Drosophila melanogaster: one gene and its partner. Changing the gene in region 2 together with the main gene of any one other region gives a genetic interaction. Each region holds a gene or a part of one and is shown on either strand. Other genes may lie near its edges.

Region 1 (3,924 bases), on a different chromosome or scaffold from region 2:
AGCATCCCAAATATGTCTAAATAGGTTAGCGAGGGCATACTCTTAAGTTCACTGCAAGGAAAATGACTGGGTAGGGATTAATCAGACGCTTGCTGGAAAAATCTTACATAAATTTGGTTGCTGGAATAAGATAGCATCGGGAGACGGACAAATATTCCAGCATCTTGAACTTCATAATTGCAGTAATGACTGTTGGTGTTAGACTATTGCAATCAGATAGATCAAGCTCCAACAACTGAGGACACCGTTTTTGCAGGGTTGCAACATCTAAACAAATTAAATTCAAATCAAAAAGGAAATATATCATTGAAGACGGTGGGAACTACTTACGCGAGTCAAACAAAACGCGGCGGCAGCCAGCGATATTGAGCCGAATTAAGTTGGGGGAAATGTGGGTAACCAACGCCGTAACAGCATCCGCACTTAGGTCAGTCCACGATATGTTTAAGCTGCTTAGGCTGGTAAGTGACTCCATCATCAGGCGAACACTGTTGGACGTCAGGCCACTAGCCATAGTCAGATTGACCGCCTCCAAAGCTTCATTCTTTGCGATCTCTGCACAGATGTCATCATCGAGCTCAATATTCTCTAAGCTTATTTTCTTTAGCTGGCGGCAGTGGGACAATAGTGTCAGCAGTGAGCTTCGGGTGATGGAAGCCATACTCAGGTCAAGATATTGTAATCGGGTCCTAAACACTTCTGTATATGGTGCAAATGCGGGCTCCTGGATCTACAGTTCAAAGATTAGATGCTCTTGTTTCCCGAAAACATAATGTTAGATGTAACTTACACTAGTCTGGGCCAGACGTATTACAAGGACTCCCCGCCGTACAATTTGCTCGAGGGCACCTGGTCTAATTGTCCGCAAACCCAAATCTAGCCTTGTCCACAAAGTCTCATCGCGAGAGCAGCGGTTAAAGCGTCGACAAACGGTAGCCATGCGCAGCAGCGTCTTCTTCGGGAGCCACTTAAAGATGTCAAGTAGTATTTCGTCTGAAAGTCTTTCAAAGTAGTTTATGCCGCTGTTGATGTGGGCACTCATGGCCGGGGTGCGAAACACAAAGAAACTGTCCGCTGCCACTATTCGGGTTGTAATATTTGTTGTCGAGGGCTTTTTTGCCTGGCGAACTTGCGCCAACCTGCTGGTTGATGGCTGAAAATTGAGCGAAGCAGTCCCATCAATCTGGTTGTTACAGGTGACTGCAGCCAGGGGGTTGCGCAAACGTTTGCTGGGCGAGTTTGAATTGCCGCTACCTTCAGAACCCAACGACGAGCGCTTAGCCTGCGCCAGAATCTGCAGCTTCTCGGCCGATTGACGGGACATCGACAGTGAATCCTCCACAGCTGGGCTATCCAGTGTGATGTCCCCCGTAGAGCCCAGACTTAGCCGTTGCGTGTGCTGTAGCTGGTGCGCCATGCGCGACACACTGGCGCACGGGGTCGTCTCATTTGAGTTGTCGTCGCTGGTGGCGCTAACCGCCAAAGCGATGGCCGAGAGGGCTGAGGAGCTGCTTTCTTCGGAATCAAGCATTCCGATTCCCATCTCTTCTAGGGCCTCAAAAGTTAGTGCCGAGGGCGAGGAAGGGTGCTCGTAGTGCGATGACTTCGTAGTGGAAACTAGAGCGCCCACAACAGAGACGTGGTTCTTATTAGTCGAGCGCTTTCTGCAATAGTCGAAAATTTATTAAAAGTGTGCAGTTCGATCGTGCTTCATCAGCAGAATGGCTGATGAAAGAAAGGGTCAAGAACCCTGCAATTCAATAAGTTACTTTCTTGACCTCTTTTGGACACTTGTGGCGCGTGTGACGTCACGCGACCAGTTCAGTGGTCTGCTGCTTGAACCCACACCCCAAGCAAAGGAAAACTCACCTGGTCACCGGGCACAAATTTTCCATGTTTTCGGAGCCTCTGTGCTTGCGACTGCTCATATTTACACGAAATCTATTTTTTCACCGCCGTAAACACAAAAACTTCGCGCTATTTTTGCATGGAACCAGGGTTGTCGAGCCATTTTGGTATGAGAATTGTATCGTTATCGAATATACTAGACGGGCCGTGGTTGCCAGACCAAATCCCAAATTAATGCTACCGTACTCTTTGAGAAAAAATATCCGCTCAGTCTTCTCTTCTGAGAAAAAAACAAGGGCAAGACAGTTTATATTAATTGTTTACCTGTGCAACAATCTTTTGTTCCGCGAACAAAGACTATATTTGCAATTGATCCCGCCGACATAGTCATAAAAGGGTAAGCAATACGCTGCAAGGCCACTGGCATTGCGTCCTCCGCTTACTAACGTTTCCTACTAACTTTCTTCGCTGCAGCTGGAGTCGGGCCCTAGACATTTCTTAATGGTGAAAACAGCATAGCCTTCTACATATGCCACCGGTCTTCCATGAGCATTATCAAGATGAGCTTGCACACACGGGCGTTAGTGTTCTCCACCTTCTTTGGCAGCTGCCTGGCTATTGGCCTCTTGCTCGTCAGCATGACCACTAATCACTGGGTGCGGGCCACTCCACGCCGCAAGAACTCGTCGGACGCCAAGGGTGAATTCAACTTCGGACTCTTCTTCGGCAACTACCACCTGAATCCCGGATTCGGAGTCCGCACAAATTCGGTTGATGGTGAGCAATCAAAGTAGCCTAGATAGCAGGGAAAACTAGATAGAGAGTGATCTTCTCATTACCTGCATCGTGAATTAGCCTCTTTAAACTTCTTGGGACGCTTTCTGAATGAATATACGATTAGGAAAATGTGCTGATTATTGGGGCATGTATTAGTTGAAAACCGATATTGTCCTGGATAAGACTGTTGTTAAAAATAGATTTACTTTTAAATTTGTTTAGTTGTGAAGATCACAAACATAATCGGGCGAGTTGATAAAATTAAATACCCGAATAATACTCATGATCAGTGCAGACATATCCAAAAATTAACCATTATGTATACTTTTCGATTACATTTATTTATCTTGCAGATCCTAAGGATATGCTTAAAAATTAAATTGTAAAAACCAAAATTGTTTTTGTTTTTCTTATTAATAATCAAGTGACACAACAAACTTTAGGGCTAAAGGGAAGTTACATTCTATTTAACAAAATTGAAAAATATTGAAATTTTTGGCGCAAAAAATATAATAGAAGCGAGGACATAGGGAACCATATTTTACTTGCTTTTATATAATATGGTTGAAATTTGGGGTTTACAATTTTTAAAATTGCAAGGGTATTATATTGCGAGCCACAAATATGCAACATAGAATAAAAACGTCGTGGAAGCTTAACAGCTTTTGGAGATGCAAATAAAATATAAAATTTTTAAAGCAATCCTGTTTAACTTTTGTTATTTCACACCGTATTTTCAGTGTATACCTTTGTTCGGACAGAAAATGACGACACTAGCTTCTGGCTCTGGCTACTTACTACCTTGGGCACCGGTTTCGCACTGCTGGCCTGCGCTGTGGCTGCCATCGCCGCTGTCCTAAAGTCAGCCTCTGCGGCCAAAAAAGGAGGCACAATGATGCTGCTCCTGACTTCCAACATATGCGCCGCGGGGGCGCAAATAGTGGCGTTTGTAGCTTGGCTCGTGCAGTTCTACCAATATTTCATACACAACGTTCTTTTAACTGAGCAGCAGCAGCAGCACTGGTACAGCAATGGACTGGCTTATCTTGGTTACAGCTTTTACCTGGTCGTGGTATCCACCGTCGTTGTGCTGCTGAATATCGCCATCCTGTTGTACGCCCAGCGACTCGGCCTCCGCAACCGCCAATGCCTGGAGGCGCCATGTGACGATAAAAACAAGACCGCCATAATGCTGTACTAAGGAAGGCGAGAAGGATTCCCAAATGAACCTCTACGAAGTTGCTTGGCAAACGTACGAGCAGCGACACCTAGTAATCTCAGTGGCTCAAGTACTTGTGC
Region 2 (3,924 bases):
ACGAGACAAGGCAGGACTGGGCTTTGTTGAGGTTTTAGTAGATACGAGATAATGTTCTACCGACCGCGCGACCTTTGACTAGGAAACACTGATGATATTTGCCTAGCCCTTATCTACTCGGGGGGGGGGGGGGGGGGCCATAGTTGAGTGCATATTAGGGAATTCGGATAAGATCCAATTCGATCCTACCAGCATTAAGGACTGCAATCAAGTGAATACCTTGAGTGCCATCCAATGCCCGCACGTTCCACGACAATCCTTTAGGATCTGCCCTCATAAGCGGGACACTTGAGAACCGCTTTTCCACCTCTTTTCTCAGCCTTTTTTTTTTTTGTTTTTCCGCGTGTGTTGACACAACCCATATAAAGCCAGGATATCCTGCTCGGGAGGAAATTACTTAAAGGGATCACGAACTCTTCCCCTTTCGAAAAACTCCTTCTTGAGTTGTTTATGTTTTCAGGCATGACTGCCGCCGAACGCCAGTAGAATTCTCAAATTTGTTATAAAGTGTGTAAATTCACGTTGCTTTTCTTTTTGAGGGAGGGTGTGTCCCATAAACAGAAAACCGAACCACAAGGGATCGGATCTTATGGGAGTGGAAAGGAACGAATTATGGATGGATGATGATGCTGCCTAATCGAACGTTCGTCAAACGATCTCTGCCTTTTTTGGGGTGATTGCACTCCGTTTTTTCTTGTTTTTTTTTTTCTCGGGTTTTTGTGTGGAAAGCCGATGGGTTTTCCCATTATTTCGTCGAGTGCAAAGGACAAAGCAAATGATGTCTTTAGTCTACGAATCTGACTTCCAAGGCTTTGTCCCAATTCTTTCCTTCTTATTTAATTGGATTTGTTCAAACAATATAAATCTCGTTTTATTGCCTTTGGTAGTGTAATTTAATTTTTTACGATTTTGCACACGAAAGGAAAAAAACTTTATGAAAATGCAGCACGAAATGAGCAGAAAACTTGCGTTTCACAAAGTGAACCATAACGGAAATTTGAAATACCCAGTGCTATGCAAACACCACAAGGAAATTCGAACTAGACGTGCACATTATTTTACATACATACATACATACATCGTACAAATGTATATTTGGTGGACCAGTGCCCCACAATGCAAGCGCGATTTTCCCCTTGGCAACACGAGGAAAGTGAAAAGAATTGGTGCCCCAAATGCCCCCTGCCACTTCCCTCCGACGACTAAAAATCCAGTTTGAGGCCAAACAAACCAAAACCATAACATCGTTTTTTCGTATCTTCCCATCGCAATCGCAACTAAAAGTACAGCTCCACCGATGCAACAACAACCAAGAAGGCAGCGAACAGAACACACGGATGGAAATGGCAGGGATGGGTAGATGGCGTGCGAGAGAGTGGGAGACATATGGTGAGAGAGAGAGAGGTTGTGGAAGTTGTGACGACTTTCTTGATACGCTCTATGAAGGAACCTTGGACAGTTTAAAATATAATTAAATTGGTTATTTCAAAAACATTAAAAATAAAATCTGGTTGAATACTGTTTACAAATGAACTATGGGCTTATGAGCTGTGAATATTATTTGACAGGAAATAATGAAAATAATGATAATAATAATAATAATAATAATAATGAATACGTATTATATATTGTACTATATGATGATTCCAACAATCAATAATTATATTAAAGCTCATAATATCAAAACTTTTAAACTCAGATGCCTTAGTTAAATTTTGTTAGGAAACTTTTATTTTTCTGAGTATTTTTTATACGTTTGCTATATAAGTTTAAAGAACAATTCAAAGGAAGTGCATTGCTCTTTCGATATGATTAACATTAAAAGCGCATTCTTTTTCCCTATCTCTTTCGCTCCTGCTGCTTTTCCGATCTTTTCGAATTCGAGGGTTGCTACAGAGAGAGCGTGAACCGCTCTGAATTTCCAGTTGGCAACGCCTCTGGTGGTTGTTTGACGTTTGCTTTTGCCCAGTGTTTTATTTATCTTTTATTCGTTTCTCCGAGTTCGTCGAGAGAGGTTCGCTTCGATCGGTAGCGCTATATTTAAAAATCTAGTGCGCAGTGCGCTCATAGCCGAAAAGGTTAACAAACATCGCTGTAAAAACGACTTCAAGTTGTAAAGACAAATATAATACAAAGGTGCTGCCATTGGCAGCTAACTCATACAAAAACTCCAACGAGACCCGCAAACGTTTCGTTTTGTGAGTCGACTAGCAGTGCAGTGTGTTCGAATCGCCATTCAAAGATAGTGACCAAGTGCTATTGGACCAAGGCATTTGTTTATAATTATTTTTATAAACAATTGCAGCGTGAAATTTCACTTTTGAACGCAGCAAGACGTAAAATAAGCTGCAGCACAACGCACACACAGAACACTCGCTCTCCCTCTCACATACACACACGCTCGCGTGTGGAGACCGTGATTTGTATTCGTGTGGAGACTGCCTCTCTCTCTTTTGGGGCTGTCTGAACACAAAGTTTTGGCGCCAAAAGTTTGACAGTTCGCTTTGGCGTGTAATTCGCAAACAAGTGGCAAGAAAAGTGCGTCTCAAAACAGAGTAGAAAACACTAGGGGATCCCAAAAAAATATATATTGACTCAACATGGTCAGTGCCCGAGTCCTGAATCCTGTGATGATCAGTGAGTTCTGCAAGATGAGCAGCAGCCCGGCGGTGAGTCGCAATCTGGCATGCGGTCGTCAGTTGAATCGCATAAAGCGTGACCTCTTCGGTAGCTCCAAATCCGCCGAGGGTACAGCCAACAAAACGTGAGTTTCTATAATAACAGTTGGATTTTGACCAATAGCTAACAATATATCCTCTTTAGACCCTTTAATTCCGAACTGGAGCGCCATCAAGAACTGGCCACGCAAAAATGGGGCTTTGACTTCCGCGCCGGCTGCCCTTTAGCTGAAAAATCACCCTACATTTGGGAGCGCGTCAGCTTCCAGGAGTCGAGCTTCGCCCCAGAGATGTACACCCTAACACGGGCCGCCCACGTACGCCCTTCCGCGGATGCAAGTCCTAGCGACATGGACATTTTGGTCAACGAGCGCTCAGAACGGGAGAACTTTGGCTCCAATCTGGTCAATTCCTCGCTAGAGTCGAACACGGATAATGAATCTTGTTACGACTCCCAGGACGAGTCGCTGGCAATGCGGCTTAGCTCCTCCAGCACGACAAGCACATCCTCCATAGTCCTGCGCAAGAGACAGCCAAAAATCACAGGTGAGTTTTGGGGGATGTTCTACACCATTTTGATCAGTAGAGCTTGACGGTTCCCAGGGTCAGGCTTCATTTCACTTCGATAGACGTTACAAAGTGTTTTCCCATAGCTTTCCTTTTATTCCCTGTTTATTTTCGGTTCTCAGGAGGAAGTTGAGGGTGTTTTTTTTTTTTTTTTAACTTATCAGGCTTGTTTTGTAATCGGACTGATACGATATTATTTTTCAAAATTATCTGTAGAGTAGAGAGTATTATCTAAAAATTTCCGAATATAGTGCTCGAGATATAAAAGTAGATTCGTGCTCTTTGTTTTGCAAACTCGATGAAAACGATTTTCATCAATGATTTTATGCCAAACCAATATTTTGTGCAGGATTTTGTACTTACAATACTAAACTCCATAAGGGGTTGTTTGATTGGTTTTAAGTCCACTCCTTCGCATTTATTGTTTATATTCACGTTTTAGTTGTGGGCGTTTTTCGTGAAACTTAGACCCAAATTATAGCAATTAGCCAATGCTTTGTGGGAGATTTATTTTCGTCCAGAAGGGTAAGTCAAAGCTGACTGCAGCTGTTTCAGCTCCTCATCTCCCTAAACCGAATGATTCTCTTCTGATCCTCCACAACGCGGGGGTTGGTTTCCAGATCGATAGCATGCGGGCTGGCTGGCTGCATCTATAAATGCCAACAGCTGTGACTCCGCT

What was found.
Region 1: of dap (region 2) and Skp2, changing one suppresses a phenotype caused by changing the other (phenotypic suppression), as found in Drosophila melanogaster (one study listed by BioGRID).

Annotation. Positions count from the first base shown.
Region 1 is NT_033777.3:4,335,679-4,339,602, forward strand, and holds the start of Skp2 (S-phase kinase-associated protein 2), read right to left. Parts: upstream 1,997-3,924; 5' UTR 1,929-1,996; coding exon 1,870-1,928; intron 1,665-1,869; coding exon 791-1,664; intron 731-790; coding exon 331-730; intron 268-330; coding exon 108-267; intron 52-107; coding exon 1-51. Other genes in the region: CG1103 (uncharacterized protein), read left to right, coding at 2,394-2,625, 3,366-3,826.
Region 2 is NT_033778.4:9,710,340-9,714,263, forward strand, and holds the start of dap (dacapo), read left to right. Parts: upstream 1-1,981; 5' UTR 1,982-2,600; coding exon 2,601-2,764; intron 2,765-2,823; coding exon 2,824-3,224; intron 3,225-3,924.